2 linked regions of the Caenorhabditis elegans genome follow. Changing the gene in region 2 together with the main gene of any one other region gives a genetic interaction. Each region holds a gene or a part of one and is shown on either strand. Other genes may lie near its edges.

The links.
Region 1: of wrm-1 (region 2) and nhr-25, changing one suppresses a phenotype caused by changing the other (phenotypic suppression), as found in Caenorhabditis elegans (one study listed by BioGRID).

Annotation. Positions count from the first base shown.
Region 1 is NC_003284.9:13,006,007-13,014,910, reverse strand, and holds nhr-25 (Nuclear hormone receptor family member nhr-25), read right to left. Parts: upstream 6,419-8,904; 5' UTR 6,323-6,418; intron 6,026-6,322; 5' UTR 6,020-6,025; coding exon 5,903-6,019; intron 5,894-5,902; exon of another isoform or gene 5,691-5,893; intron 5,646-5,690; coding exon 5,613-5,645; intron 5,521-5,612; coding exon 5,412-5,520; intron 5,140-5,411; exon of another isoform or gene 4,998-5,139; intron 4,805-4,997; exon of another isoform or gene 4,622-4,804; intron 4,573-4,621; coding exon 4,389-4,572; intron 4,339-4,388; coding exon 4,214-4,338; intron 4,165-4,213; coding exon 3,877-4,164; intron 3,762-3,876; coding exon 3,487-3,761; intron 3,161-3,486; coding exon 3,042-3,160; intron 2,584-3,041; coding exon 2,338-2,583; intron 1,921-2,337; coding exon 1,698-1,920; 3' UTR 949-1,697; downstream 1-948. UniProt on the Caenorhabditis elegans protein: Orphan nuclear receptor and probable transcription activator, required during development. Plays a role in male tail tip morphogenesis regulating the expression of the transcription factor dmd-3 in a negative feedback loop.
Region 2 is NC_003281.10:5,720,404-5,727,968, reverse strand, and holds wrm-1 (Armadillo repeat-containing protein wrm-1), read right to left. Parts: upstream 5,120-7,565; 5' UTR 5,087-5,119; coding exon 5,062-5,086; intron 5,011-5,061; coding exon 4,903-5,010; intron 4,360-4,902; coding exon 4,187-4,359; intron 4,130-4,186; coding exon 3,746-4,129; intron 3,557-3,745; coding exon 2,677-3,556; intron 2,628-2,676; coding exon 2,281-2,627; intron 2,229-2,280; coding exon 2,062-2,228; intron 2,006-2,061; coding exon 1,803-2,005; intron 1,323-1,802; coding exon 1,219-1,322; 3' UTR 854-1,218; downstream 1-853. UniProt on the Caenorhabditis elegans protein: Antagonistic role in the Wnt signaling pathway that operates in embryogenesis. When located at the cortex it has been shown to inhibit Wnt signaling during asymmetric cell division but when relocated to the nucleus it shows positive regulation.

The sequences.
Region 1 (8,904 bases), on a different chromosome or scaffold from region 2:
TCTATTTTTGAAACTGTCCCGAAATAACTTGTATTGCTAAAATCAAATAACCAGATAATGCTATAACATATGTTGCTGCACAATTTTCTTAAACCTACACAAAAAAACAATTATTGTAAGCATCTACAAATTCAAGCTTTTGATCCCTTCCACTGTTCCAACATTAACCTAACTTTATTGTATGATTTTCTCATGCAATACCAGAACCATCGTAATCGATTTGCCGAATTTCATGACATCTTCCTTTCCTCCTTCATCTAACTGCTTCTCTCGATTTTTTATGCGTGTAGTGTGTCTTCATCTCCTTCTTTCAGAATGATGTCTGCGCAAGTTGAAAAACTGCAGAATCGTCGGTGCGTGTGAGGGTGGGGGTACCTCTCATTTTCTTTCTTTGATCGACCAAAAAAAAATGGAAAAGACGAAGAAGACATATAAAACCAGTTCGGTTAAATCGTTGGGCCTCTCCGTGGGTGGTGGAAGAAAAAAGCGTAGGGAGACAAGGGGCTTTGATTTTTTTCTCTTCTTTTTACCTATAGGTGGAATATTTATTGTCATTTTTTAAGGTTCAATAGTTACAAAGAAGACGCAGAATCGAAAAGTAACCATTCACTTTTTTTCGTTCTGAAAGTAATACTCCTATATGGCAACTGACACAAAATATAGGAAAAACGCCCTTTGTAGACAAGGCGAGGAAAATAAAGGGCAAAAATAGACAGATAAGTGGGAAAAGTACTTTCACATCCAGAGTGAACTGTACTCACTCTACAAAGTATTTAAGTTTAAAAGATTGGTCTTAAAAATTTTAAACTAAAGTCTAGTTTTCTGAAAGTTTTCAGAACCAAATAAAAACCAAGTCTTATTTTTTTAAATCCACAAAAACCTGAAAGTTCATCCTACAATCGCAATACTTCATTTTAATATTTTTTGTAAAAGTATTTCAAATAATTTAAAATTTCAATTTTTATATACGATCTGCACATACAAAACAAGTGAGGTGTGTTGATTGATCAAAATCAAAGAAAAAAAGAATAATAAAACAACCAAACATAAAAATCCATAAAGAAATAAAATGGGGGCGAATTCAGACAAAATACAAATATATTAATTGCATGTAAAACAATTATCCGTTTTGCAGAAGAGAACAGTCTTAAAGTTTTGGGAAGATGAGAAGAGTTCGGCAGAGAACGTTTTTTCGGAATTTTCAGATTTTTGTTGGGAGAAACAATAATAATAATAAAGTGCCAATTTTGATTGGCTCGTGACCTAGGAAAATGGGTTTTGAGAGGAAAGATTTTTGAATGAAAAAAAAATAGAGCAAAATACATTTAAAAGCTGTGAGGGTTTGGGCACTAGGATACACAGATATTGAGACAAAATGAGAATTGAAAAAATGCAAATGATTTAAATAAAGTACAACCGACTAAAAGCTGACACAGCACGAAAAATGCAAGATATTCAATAGATCTTGAAGAAAATGAATTGAAATGCATGGATGGAGGTTTTTGAGGTATAAAATGATATTGATATTATAAAGTTGAATAAGTGAAATAAGGGAATTATGCAGAAAATACTGGCTGTCTGTAATTGACAACAGAAAAAACCGGTCCCGTAAAAATGGAAGAGTTGAGCGAGATCGCTAAACAAAGGGAGTTGCTGACTGACTCCATTGGAAGTTTTCAGCTCCTATGACAGAGACATTATGATGCCATGTACGGCACAGCAGTGTATGTGGCTTGTGGGGTTGGCAGTTGGATTGCTGGGACCTGAGTGATTGCGGTGACGCTACTGCTAGCCGATCGGTTGACAGTAGTGCGAATCATTTCAAGAACCAAGGAGGCTTCCGGAAAGAATTGCTCCCAGTTCGTGGGGCAGTTTGAATGAAGGTTCCATAAGTACCGTAGTGAGTCGTAAGCGAGTCGTCTGAAATTAGAAAGAATAGATTGTAAGAAGTAATTAATCGACTTATTCATATTTCCCAATGCATATTCATAAGTCAAGTTGTTTTCTGTCTATTCATATGTATTTAGTAAAGATTCTCTCCCCGTTCTTAGTGCCACCTGCTGCGCAACAATACCGTATACATATTGTGCCCCGTTTTCTAATCTGTTTCCTTCTCCTCGCGCACCTATCCAACCAGAATAAATGAGCCTTCCTATTATAAGTTTTTTTCTCCACTCTTCCGATGCTTCTCTTCTCTCCCCAATTCTTTGTCTCCTGTATACAACAAGTTTTTGGAGGGAGAGATGAGCACTAATTATACGGCAACGTTGCTAATTTGTGTGGAGGCGAGGGGAAAGATTGATTTGTGATGGGTTTTTACGAAGGCCAAAGGTTTACCTGATTTGTTCGAAAATTTCCAGAAAGGCGGTAGTACATCTCACTTCACGCCAAGATTGGAGTACTCGAGATCGAGCAGTAGAGACTGCTGGGAAAGAGTCCATTGATTGGTCAAAAAGGGCTAAGAATCGGAAAGCACAATAATCGAAATTCGTGAATCCCATATTTCGAAGCCGAATAACAACATCATTCCATGATGATACGAATGTTTGATTGCCAAGAAGAGCTACAAGACCGACGGGAACTCTGCAAAAAGAATACGATTTTATAGTGGTTTATTGGGCCTTAAAAGGTCTTGAACTTTTGAAAGACCACCGGCTCGTTTTCACAACAATTACGTAACTAAAATGGTAGCCTAATCCTTATTAGAGCCTATGCCGGTAGTGGGAAAATGCGCAATACTTTATACGATGAGCTCGCGGGACGAAGATCTTATCTGGTGCCGAGAATCAAGACTTGCGTCATGTCGGCACCCAATGTTGCGAGAGGCAAAAAAGGTGGGTAATCGAGATAGATGAGTCAAGATTTATCGCCAAATCTTTATAGCCTAATCTTATAGACGCCGCTGTCAGATCGGTTTGTTTATAGTAGTTGTGTTGCGTTGGAAGTTGATTGACTCATTAAATAGCCAGAATCAAACGTTCCACAAAAATTGTTTCCGAGCCTTAGGAAGAATGGAACTCAAAGAAATTTTAACAACTTACTCATCACCATTTGACATTTTATACTGCGAAAGAAGATTTCCGTGGACCATTGCATTAGTGATATCAACGATATGAACGGTTGTCCACGATGTTTGCAACAGAATCATTTGGTCATCCAACTGGAATAAATGCACTTTAGTAAATCTTCAACCAATTACTTATCACACTCAGGATATAAAAAGGTTGCGGTGCAATTACTCCTAGTACATAATGGGTGTCCGTAATGAAAACAATAGAGGTGTGTTTGTATGGGGATGTACCTTTTGAGAAGGAGCGCCTCTTTTTATAGCGGCGATTGTTTCTTTTGATCACCGGAAGCGAGCAATTTATCTACATTATTCCCATCTCATCAGGGTGGGAAATAGAGAATAAAAATATTAGAAAAAAACCGCTGGTGGGAAATGAGAGTGCCTAGATTATTATATTGTTGTATGTATTATTTTACCGATAATTTGCTGAATAGTTGATCATTTTTTGCCCAAATCACGATATCTTTCAAATTTTCCTCTGCGACTTGAATGGAAAATGCGTGCTTTTCAGGTTTGCTAGTTCCTTTTACGCTTGTGAAAATTCGAGCAATTTGAGCATCATCGGGTAATGTTTTGCACATTTCGGCGATCGAGCTGTTGTAAAAGTGGTCCACCGTTTTTTCAGTTGGTGCTGGGCAAAGTGGGAGAATTGGTGATGTGCTGCTAGCTTCTGTCATTCGGCCAGTTGTTGCTGAAATTAAGTAATGTTAACATTTCAAAAATTAAAAAAAAACTTAATCAAAAATTTGAAATGTTGAAACTATAAACTGAAGACAAGAAAAAGCGATAAAAAAACTAAAACTTACTAGAAGAAGTCGAAGTGACCAAGGATTGTGTGCTGGAAACAGTTGTCATTGGCATCATTGTAGCATAATTGGTAGTGTTGCTGGTATAAGTTGGATAGTCGTGCAATGAGTGATGAATGAACTGCTCCGAATAGTCAAATGGCTCCTGTTTGACTTCATTCAACTGATAAGCTGCTGGGAAGGTATGCCTGAGAAGTGGGTCGTCAATTGTGCTCCCAAGAAGTACTGCCAAGCTGTCTTGTGGGTCAACTAAGTATCCAGGTCTCATGATAAAATCGGAAACAGAAACTGAAATTTATAATTTGATGCTATTAACAACTCCAGAAAATATTCTTACGCTGCTGATTAGTGCTACTGGACAATGTTGGACTCTGGAGATGTGCATCATACTCAGTTTTGATATATTCAGTTTTGATTTTAGTTTGGTCAAAATAGTTGATTTGGTTGTTCTGGTCAGTTGTGCTGAAATATGAGATTGATAAGTTGAAAGAAATATAAGAAATAAAGCTCACCTGCTTGAAACCTGGTGCTCTGGAGGTTGATAGAATGTTTGTGCTTGTGATTGTGCTCCAAGGACGGCTGGAACTTGCACTGTGCTCACTCTCATTGCGTTTCTCTGCATACGATGAGCCCGATCCTTCTTATAAAACGATCCGAACTTGTTTCGTCCACCTCTCATCCTATCGGCACGCACCGCTACAAAACATAGTCATTATCCAAGTGCACACACTCATTTCGATGTTCCCCCTTCAATTTACAGTTCCCCGTTTGTACCCGCCAGATGACTGTACACACGGCTCATTTGATCTGGAGTAGAGTGGGCAAGTGCAGTCATTTTTGCCGCAAAACATGCGACACCCTGCAATTGAGATCCTCACGAAAAACGCGCCGCAATGAATGAGTTCGGCACTTCATGTTTTCCCAACAAAGGTACTGTTCAGCACCTATAATTATCGAGCCGGCTACTATTGTTTTGCACTTTTACTACTTCCCCGAATGCCAATAGTTCTTTTATGATGCACCGGATGTCCTAATAAAACTTCACTGAACTTCAGTTGTTTTCCAAGGTGTTGCCTCACTTTTCTCCAACATTTGAAATGGTTGCGCGCCTGCCATAGAGCGTTTGAGATGCGCGCCTCCACCCCCAGGTCTCCAGGTACCGGTTTTTCGGTGACTGTCAGATCTATTCTTCTCTTCCACTCTCACCGTTTCATATCCAATTTTGCATCTCTCTTTTCAATATATCGTTTTTGTTGTCATGCAAAAACGAAACGAAAAGAAAAACGAGAGAGAGAGAAACATGTAACAGAGATGAAAGAAAGGAGAAGTAGAAATCCACAAAAAGTGTAAGCCTTGCGCGATGATTACGTGGAACAAGCTTATGACGCTGCTTAAAGTGCAAATTCAAAATTTTTATAGAGATGGACTTTCGATAACGGTTACATCCCTTATTATCCCATCAATCAAGAAGTCAGCACAGTATGTGCTCTTACAGAAGAGCGGTTGCGCTCTTTTAGATATGATAGATATCTTACCTTCCATTTTCATTCCCATTGTGAGGCACTTCTGGAATCGACAGCTTGGACACCTCTTCCGGCAAGTACGATCCACGTGGCAGTTGGCTTCGGCAGAGCATTGATATTGCTGAAAGAAGGGACAAATTGGAGAAAGTCGAAAACAATACTTAGATAACATCAGCTACAGTGTTATATTTTTATACATATGTATGTACTCACCTTCTTGTTTTGAACAGTGCGTTTGAAGAAGCCCTGTAAAGAGAAAATTATTGATGGAGAGAATGAAACAATAAATGGAAAAAAAAGAATCAAATGAAAAACTAGAGATGACCGCCCGATGAGGGTCATATGGCAACAAGTGAATGATTTTGGCGGTGAGAGTTGTCTGTCCTTGAAGGGCTCGAACGTGTCCCTGAGTCGGGACTCTCACTAACTACAAATGACCTTATCATTTTGCCACACACCCACTTTTTTCCCGCGGAAAAAAAGTGAAGACATCTAAGACTAACCTTGCAACTTTCACACGTCAGAAGGCCGTAGTGATATCCAGAGACTCGATCACCACAAACCGGGCACATCTCGCCTTCATGATTCGGTCGCAGAACCATCCTCTCGACGTCAGTCATTTATTTCTGGAACAGATCTCGGATTACTGTATGTTCGAATGAAATTGAAAACAGAAAAATGAATTTGAGAAAGGGATAGCTGAATGGCACAAGGTATGAAGGACCTGTCCAAGGATGGCACGGTACGGAAGAAAAAGTAGGCGGAGTCGGAAAAGTGAGAGTAAGTGGTTCGCTGCCGTGTGGATCTCTTGGGCCGGTCGATCTCCTCCCACCACACCACTGGCGGCATCAGCGAGCCTATCGTTGGATGTCTTTGGTTGTCTCGCACCCTCCACCATGCTCTACCCGAGGGGACCTACATACCGTAAGACACACCCGCTCGTCTTCTTCGTCCACTAAAATCCGCCAACGGCTACCTATGTATAGAAGAGAGTCGTAGTTGAAGGTCGACGCGGAGGCCTGAAATAGTGAACGTCGATGGGAGAGAAGGGGATGATCGAGAGGGAAAAAATGATGAAAAAAAGGAAGAGAAAAGAAGAGGACGTGGGGGTCTTCTTCTTCTTGACGGGAGGTAAAGAAAAACGATCGACGACGACAACGGAGAAAGCAAACGTGTGAGTATGGCAATTCAGTGGCGTATCGTCAGGGGTCGTGCCAGGCACCGCTACAGTTCGTTTTTTGCCCAGTAACTTCAACTTGAATATCTCTTGTTCTCTCTGCGCAGCGCGCGAAAACCGCAGGGACGGTGGGTCTCGATTTTTTATAGTCTCACTTGCTGCCCCCCGGGTGGGAAAAGGAGATTTGATTTTCTTTGCATTGTTCTTCATTTTTTTTCTTCGTCAATTCACTTATATTACCTACCTAGACTGCTTTGATTCATCGCCTACCCTAAAAGTCGCCTCCACCCCTTTTTCTCGCTATCTACATTTTATTACGCAATCAGCCGGTTAAGAGGAGATATCGAGAGATAACGTAAATAGGACCATATAAGTTAGCCTGGGAAAAAGATTTTTAGAAGCGCCAAATAAAATAAATTTTTAAAACAAAATAAAACAAACTCGACATATGCTTGTATAGAAAAGCACTTCCGGTTAAAAACTATCTGCTTCGATATGATAGAAATTATCCCAACAAGGAAACCGCTTAAAAATGAATAGTACAAATAAGACAAATTATCAAAATCGAAGTCAAATGTTACTAGATGTTACCAGTATAAAAATTTGTCATCCTGTTCTCTACGTCTGAAATTTCGCATCTAAAAACTTCTACTGAATCTTGATGATATCTCACCGTGCAGAATTGGTTTTTGGACATTTTTTTTATTAAAAAAAGGGCGGGGCGCTGGGTGAAACTTTTTTCGCTCAAAAATGACCGAATTAAAAAAAAAAGTTTACAGGTTATTTGAAGCTTAAAAACATTAGGTTCTAAACGTGTGTACTAACAATGAAGCCAAATTGAGATTAATTGAGATAGCTCATCGAAAATATTTCAGAGAGTCAAGACAGGAAATTATTTTCTAAAAAATACTGAACAATAAAAAAGTTATTCTCGAAAAATGCACAAAAAGCAACATGCTCAGCTAAGACTAGAAACGTTATTTAAAAAAAATAGAATATAAAATTTCGTCAAAATATTGATAGTTCTTAGATTAAAAAAGTTATATTCTCATTTTGAGCTGGTATTTCAACAAAGTTTAGATATTTAACAATGTATATTGTAGAAAGCTAATCATTTTTGCATAATTATGATAACGTCATTATCAAAAATTGAATCGTCTGGTTAAATTAAAGGTATGCCTGTTAGGTTTAAATAGTTTTTAATCTAAATTTAAAATAGGTTTTTCTATATTATAAGTTCAAAACACGTATTTTATTGGTTTTCGTATTAAACTTTCCACAAATACTTAGGAAAAAAAGGAAAATAAAATATGGCAATGACTATATCCGGGATTTTGTATATGTATGAAATAGTTAAAGGCGCTATAGACATCATCAGTGAAAATATGATAAGATAAGTGCAAGTCGGGCAAAAAAAAGAAAGGGCTGCGCAACAACCGGAGACAGTGTAATATTGCAGAAAAATTGGAAGTATGTCAAATGACGCCTTTAACAAAATTTTGAATAAGCTATGCATATGTTTCAACTAAGCTCAATCAGATAAGAACAGTATCAAATTTCAGTGTGAGGTGCGCAACAATACTTCCAGATGTAAACATTTGGCGAGATTGATGGAGAAATCAGAGAGATAGAGATAGAAGATGAATGTACAAGGAATTCCTGATCAAAGAAGAAAATTTGCGTTGGCATGGTAGAATGGAGGAGGAAAGAAGGGTGTGAAAAAACAGTAGCAACACGAGGAGAGAGAGAAAGATATGGAGTGAAATAGGTGAAGAGAGGGAGGAAAATAAGAAAAACTTGCGGCGCCGGGGGCCCGCCGATGAAAATGTCCCGCATTTGGAAAATGGCGCGGATAAAAGAGACAATATTGAATTGAGAGACAGACCGTACGGCATCTGCTGGATTTTCTTACAAAAGAGTGTTGCGTTTTCATCAACTTATTTTCGCGCGGCGTGGTGTGGTGTTGCGTGATTTTTATTTGGCGCAAAGCTGCTGACTATTAACTAATCAAATGGCGCTTGGGAACCGAAAAATTGCAAAGACAAGACGAAGAAGAAAGTCAGAAGCCATTTTGCTGTGACAAATAGGCACGTGACACCGCTGCGTCAAACCTATGTGGATTAGACGAAGCACAGTAAAATGTGTTATTGTTGATATAAGTTACAGATCAGTGAAGAGATAAAAAATTTAAAAAAAAAGGGCTTCGCCAGCCAATTTCCGTAACTCCTGGATATGGCTGAAATGTAAATTCTAACGTGCAAATGTCGGAGAGTAAAAATTGAAAATTGACTCTTCTCGGTTTTTTTTCACATTCTGAAGCCACTGTGA
Region 2 (7,565 bases):
CAGTGGGGTACTGTAATCGTTGCGAAACCCGCAAGAAAAGCGCGCGTTATTCAAAAAGTGTTTTAGTTGAAATATTTTTCCGCAAAAAATATTTAAATAATGAAAACACGTGAATCGAAAAATAATACAAATGAAATGTATTTTTAAGTTTTAACTCAAATAAAGTGTCTGAATAATATGCTTGAGAACCAGTGTAATCGCGATATTGAGTGAGTCCATCGACTTCTAGGTTTTCAATCGAATTAACCAAGTTCTGAAATCCCAATAAAATTTCAATATCTAGGACCCAACGCCCAGAGGAACCACGTGGCAGAGCTCAATCGGGATCTGAGCTAGGAGCCACTGCGCAAGATCCATGCTTCTGTATGCCAGTTTATGTGTGGTTCATCATGATGGCACTCATTCATTGTGCCATTCTGACCCTGCACATTTTGCTTGTCAAAAATTCGTAGCCGTGGTGGTATGTCTTTGAAGTGAGACCGCCTGTATGTATGTGACACGTGGCAATTTTTTTTCAATATTTCAGTTTCTTCTTGTCGGCTTATCCCTGTTCATCATTTGTGCCCCGAATACATTTTCCGTCTTTGCCCACTTCCTGCTTCAGATCTTATTTTGGGTATCCAGCGATCCTCTAAAAAAGTAACAAAATTTTACAATTTTTCAGACTGGCGCCATCTTTGCGCACTGCTACACGTTTTCGAATGGTGTGCACACAGTTGAAACTGGTGGTGATCGTGCTTGGCGCATTGCTTCCTTCATCTCATATCTGATCTCTTCTCTGATTTACATCATAATTTTTGTCCGTCTTCTTGTGTCTTCTAGATGAATCTTCTTGTGTCTTCTAGATTAAAGTCTAATAAATAATTCATATACACGATAGACGAAAAAAAAGGGCCCGTTATCAAATTGTCGAAAAGAGTTCGCACTTGTAATAGAACATGAGATAATTGAGAGATGGTTGGAGAAATGAAGTGAGCAACAAATAATACGGATAGATGGGAAAAAACTAATTAGATTGGGGAGTGATATGCTCCAAATACTGATAATGAGAACAACGAAATGAAGTGGGTATTTGATGTGAAACTACATAAGGGAACATGGGGATGGAATGAAGATAAATATATAATAGCACATGAATAAAACTGGAAGATCGATTTGATTGAGATTGTGTGTCTGTGCACCGGGAGTAGGGAATTCTGTACCCGCACAAAGATTCATTCACATTAGTTGTCGATGATGCTGCATTTGATGCTGTTGATGTTGTTGTGAAACTATTCTCTGCTGATGTCTACCAAGATCGATGATCTTTGACAACATAGTTTCTGAAATAGATCGTGAATTGTAAAAGGGAATTATGGGAATAAAAAATTTCATATTTCAGAATTTATAAAATTTCTAAACACGGTTGTAATTTTTTTTATCGCAGTGATAGAAATGAAGAGGCTTTTAATGTTCTGGAAGTAGCTAAATTTTGCGCCAAAAATACAGTACCCGGTCTCGACACGACAAGCTTTTGTTAAATGCAAAATGGTGTGCGCCTTTAAAAGTCCTGCATTATGAAATTTTAGTTTCTGCTGAATTTTCATAGATTGTTCATAGGTTTTCATAAATAATAATTCACAAAACCCCCAAATATTTCAATTGAAACGTATATTTTTTACAAAAAAAACTATTTATGAAAGCACATATTTGCATTCAACAAAAAGTTACCGTAATTCTTGGCGCAAAATTGAAAAATTTCGCGTTTGTGTATTTTAAAAATTCGTATTTTTTGTTAGTTTCTTCAGAAGTTAAAAACTCACGAATATTCGAATTCTGCCGACGAGCCTTGAGTTCCGCAAAGAATGCTTCAGTCATTTTTGCCTGTTCCAGGAATCTGTACATCATAAAAGTTTGCAGTGACTCGTCACGACTACAAATTGACAAAATGAATGCTAGCCACTCTTGCAGAATACCGTCACTCATCTCATGTGTCAGCCATTGGAAGGGGTTTAGCGTGCCATTTCTGGAATAAAATGAAATTAATTATTTCAATTGTGATTTTCAGTGTAAAAAACTTACGTCAATACTAGCTTCAAACTGTGGAAAAATCTTGGATTTGCCTGACTACAAAGATTCGTTAAAAGTCCCACAGATCGTTTTACAATATCTTCGTGATCTTTTCGTCTGTCATCTAATTCTCTTCTCTGCTCAGCACTTCTACCGTCACAATTCATCATTTCAACGCTCTGAAAATCAATTATAATTTATTTGTTTCTACGAATTTAATTTATAGCTTACAGTTTTCCGCCATTCGTCCAAACTCTGGAATGCTCTTTGAAGCAATAAAATTGGTAGTGGCTCATTTGTTGTTCCAAGTAGATCAACAAACGGATCAGCAAAAGCAGGAACCGTCTCAATGACACGTTTCATTACTGTCACCGCAAGTTTCCTGCACTTCCGATTTCCAACGTTAAAGTAATGAAGGAGCACATATGCGGAGTCGGCATTCTCACTGATCATTCTACACGCTGATACTGCAGATTCTTTGATATCTTGAGGTGCCATAGAAGTCACATTGTTCAATACGGATAGACAATTTTCATAAATCGACAGAATCTGCTTTCTATATAAATCTATATTGGCATCTGAAAAATAAGTAAATTAGAATTTCAGATTGAATATTTCAAAACTAACGTGGCTGATATGTAAACTGTTCAGATGTCCGAAGAACTGCGATCGCATGACTTGTAACTCCATCCTGCACCATAAATGCCTTGTTCATCTTGTTATGAAGTCCAATATTTCGTAGAGTTCCAGTCGCTAGCTCAACAATCGTTACATCCGAACATCCAATAAGTTGAACTATACAATGAATCGATTCTTTCATATCCTGCTCCTGGATCGCTGGCAAATCTGATACTCGTCTCAAACACTTCAGAAGTTCGTGAAGAAGTCGTGTTGATCCATGCGAAAGAAGACCGCACAAAACTTGTGCTCCACCCATTTGCACAAAATGTGTTCCATTCTTAACATCTCCACAGAATACGGTAAGAGCCTGCATCGTTGACCACAACAAATCCTCGTGGATCACTTCGTTCTGCATAATTTGATGAAAGAGGCTCACAACACCAAGACGTTCTGACATATCTTTGATAGTTGCATTTTTATTCGACAAATTCTTAATAATCGATACACAAAGTCCCTTATTCTTTGACTTCGTTTCCGGTCTTCTCAGGTTTCCAATTGCAAATTCAATTACTATTTTGTGAAGACGTCGATGTGCTGGTGACTGTTGAGTCTCATCTTCTCCAAAGAAAATCTTCATGAAATGAGGTTTACAACAAAGATGTACGAGCAGAACCATAGCACTGGACTCGAATTTCGTGTCAAGTTGAATGGCACGTGTCATCACGATCTCATAGATACTGTATGGCTTTGGTACATTGAACACAGGCGGCCCATTGGGATCCATTAATGCCGCATTCAGTCGGAAGAACATCCTGTCGATACGTCGGATTTCCTTGTTGGAGAGAAGAATTGAGTGGTGGAGAATTTCAAACGCTTTCCGGATTACCTACAAAAAATATGGAGTTGTCAAACGATATTTTAATACATCTATATATATTTTTTTTTTTTTTTGAAAGATTTTTTTAGATTTAGATTTTAGATTTTTAAACAATATTAGGCTGTAGGCATCCACTTAGGGATGACGATGTTCCTACCTACCATGAAAACCTTCAACGAACATTTATGCAAAACTTACATTCTCATTCTCAACTGGCCGAGGAATAAGAACTTGAAACAGAGCTCGAATAATCGGTTCGGCTCCTTTAGGTCCCCAGGTTTGCAACATTCCACCAGCTTTCACAATTGGCTCCAAAGCTCGAATCGCTGCTGCTTGATTGATTAGTTCCGTTGATTCCAGATTCTCAATAATCTCGGGAGCTGTCATCGGATACTGTCGATTCGTCGGATCCTGATTCTCGGAAACCTGCGATACACGTGTCAGTGCTCGCTGATATGGTGCCTGATTGACAAAATTGTTGAATTCACCCATTTCAGTGTTGACTGAGAGCATTGACAATCCACCGTACGAGTAGGCGGTCATTTCTGACATATTCGTCATGTGAGACATTGTGGAGCCGATCTGAAATTTGATTTTATTATCTGTTCAAGCCGCGGAATTCTTATAAAAATCTCTTACCACACTCGGAGGCCTCGAAAACCTTTGTTGTTGTCCTGCCATCTGCGGCGGTGCATAGGTACCCTGCATCCAAGCATTTGTGTATGATCGCTTTCCCACAGCAGCTTCCCGGAGTTCTTGCACCCGAGAATTGGACGGTTCCATGTTCTGAGGTTGAGCCTTGAACGGCGAACCTGAAAAATGAAATATGAATATGTGAAAAGAGGTATGTAATTTGAGGGAAGTTTCCAATGGGGAACACATAGACACACGAGACATACGAAAATGGAATGGGGGAAGTGATAAGGTGATGTGATTGGAGAGGGTCGAGAGAGAAAAGGGCGCGAAATGGCCTTTTGGAATATGTTATCGACCAGGAAATTCTTGGATTAATTGTTATGCAAACGAGTTTTTATTCAATCATTCTAGATCAGGGGTACGCGGTAATTGAGCCAGTGTGGCATGTTTTCAGTAGAAAATAATATTTGCTTTATCTGAAGATAACTTTTGTTTCAGTTTGAGAAATTGAAAAAAATTTTCGATGATTTGTCGAAAATTTTGTCGGGCAATTCTCAACTTTCAGACAATTTTCGGAGCACTTTTCAATTATTCCAGCTTAAATGAAAGTAATTCTCAGATTACAATAATTCTTTTCCGAATATTAAAAATCTTAAGCATAAATTGGCCGCTTTTAATCTTTTTTTCGAAGTAAAGCCAAAATTTCATATCTTTCTCACCTGAATATTGTCTGGCAGACATTGTAGAAGACGGCCGAACTGGTGTTGAAACTCTCGATGTTGACGGAGTCATCGGATTGAAATTCAGCGGAGTGCATGGTTGCGAGACTGAAATTTTATTGATTTTTTTAATAATTATTATTTCAAGGGGGAACCTACATGTTTCTGCGCAATCCACATCCATTTCAGATGGGTGGTTGCAGGTCCGTTGAGGAACCTGAAACTAAGCTAAAATGAGAAATTTCGATGTGAGAACCTGAGAAAACGCCATTGATGAGGGGAATAAAGGAAAGTAATCGGATGTGTGTGGAGATTTCACAAAAAAATGAAGAAGTTTCAAGAGAAGTTAAAAGAATTACGAACTTTTGGATTTGTGAGAATTGTATCTAATTCTTGCAGCAACTAGAAAATATTTTAAAAATTGTTTAATTTATGAGTTTTTTGAATCAAAGCAATAGTTTTTTTCTCAATTTTAATATAATTTACAGAAAAGTTTAAAAAATAATTTTTTTCATTTTAGAAAATAACTCAGAATGCTGTGCAAAAGTACAAAACCCCTTTCCTATTGTCTTTCGAGCAACTGCTATTCACACCTTCCAAGTCAAACATACTCAAGTGGACACTGAGCTTTTTTCAATATTGACAGACTTTTTGACACCTTATTCTATTTTTTTTTTTCGAATAGTCAGCCACTTGTAGAAAATTTTGAATTTCTGAAACATTGGTGAATGGATAATAAATGCAAAACGATCGGGGGTAACCAATAAATCAGTTCATATGGGTATATACTCTGTGGGGGGTCAACACTTGAATGCTGTTCAAACAGCAGGACGAACGGCCAGTTGCAAAATGTTTCGGGGAAATTTAATCCGAAAATAGCGGAGAGAAAATTATTCCTATTAAATACGTAACTCACAAAGTTTATCAGTAAGTTTTGCGATGAAAAAAAGATTTAAACTGATAAGAAGAATGGCATCGCCCGTCCGAGAGGAGTACACAGCCGGTGGCCTAGAAACCTCCGCGCCGCGAATCAATACATTTTGAATTCGATTGAAGCTTTCAATACTGAAAGTTAATCTAGTGAATAAATCAAAGAAAATGTGATGCCGTTGAGCAGGAAGTTTACTTCGAAAGGCCACACAAATGTTTTATGTGAAAATTTCTGGATTTGGGATTAAAGTTTTTTATTTAAATTTTAATCAAAACCTTGCGAGTTAGCTCGAAAAAAAGGAGAAGCATTGGCGAATGGATAATATGCACCTGCTCAGGCTGAAGGGAATCAGTGTGTACACGACTCGTAGAGAAAGAGACAACAACCAACTAGTAATCAATCAATTTGACCACATTATTAAATCATCAGGCGTGTCATCGGAGACAAAAATGTGACGAAGAAACATTTGAATCTATGACTTTGAGGATATCAAGTGAGGCGTGAGGATGAGAAGAAGGAAAAGAAAAAATGAAAGCCGGATTTAGGGGAATTGAAAATGAACCGGAAATTGGAAGAATCAAGAGCAGCGGCGAGGAAAAATCAATTTTAGAGAATTTAACATTTTTTTGTGAAATGCAAAACCTGTTTTTTTTTTCTTTTTGAAATTCTGCTAAATTTCAGTTTTAACAAAAAAAACTGATATTTCACTATTTCTGGCCGAAAATCTGCAAAATTCCTCAATTTTCACCTCTAAAAGTAGGGTTCAAGTCAAAAATTGCATTTTTCACATGATTTATGTTGATAAATCGGAAATTTTCAGCTTATTCGTGTTGTTGAAAATCAACTAACTTTGAGTTTTTTGTTTCAATATCGACAAATCGTGTTCTAAATGATTCCTGTGAATTCGGGTACAAATTTGAGAAATTTAAAACATAATTTGGCAAAAAATTTACGAAAAATACAGGAATTTTCAATGGAAATTAAAGGCAGAGAAATAGTCGAAAATTTTGCAGAAAAACCAAAAAAAAATTGGCAAATAAAAGCAACTGTTGCACCTGTTTCCCACGTTTTTCTCCCTATCGCTTCAGAAAACATCTGTCTCCATATGTTTGCATAAGCGTGAAGATTTCGAACGGAAGAACGTCGATTCAAGGACACTTTCTCAGTAAAACGGATTTGAAAGTGATGCCTTGATGACACAGTTTTTAAAATCCACACACCTACGGCTAATTGGGCAAAGTCGATAATTGGAGCAGCAGAGTAAAATCTATAGAAAAATAGAGTGGTGGGAAAGATGGTGTGGGTGAATGGTGGACAAGAAAGTGTACGAATGTGCCTGATGACAAACAGACCCAAGCAGAGGGTGAATGAATGACCAGGGGAAAGGTGCCCCGTGTGAGAAACGGTCCGATGAGATAGTATGCTGAACGAGAGATACACAGACAGTGTGACGCAATGTATGGACTCCTTTTGCACCATTCGTTCGCCACAGTGACCAGAGAAACCCAGTGGAGGAATGAATGAGGGGTGGTAAATTCGAAAATGAATTGAATTCAACTGGAGGGACGGGACACACGATTTGAATTGTATCGAATTAACCCAGAGAAAGACTCTGTGCATAATGAGAAGAGAGGAAGAAGATGGAAAATAGAATCAGTAATTGGAATGCAAGTGAGTGAATGAAAGAGGATTGTAAAAATGAGACTAATTAAATAGGTGGCGGAAATGTCAT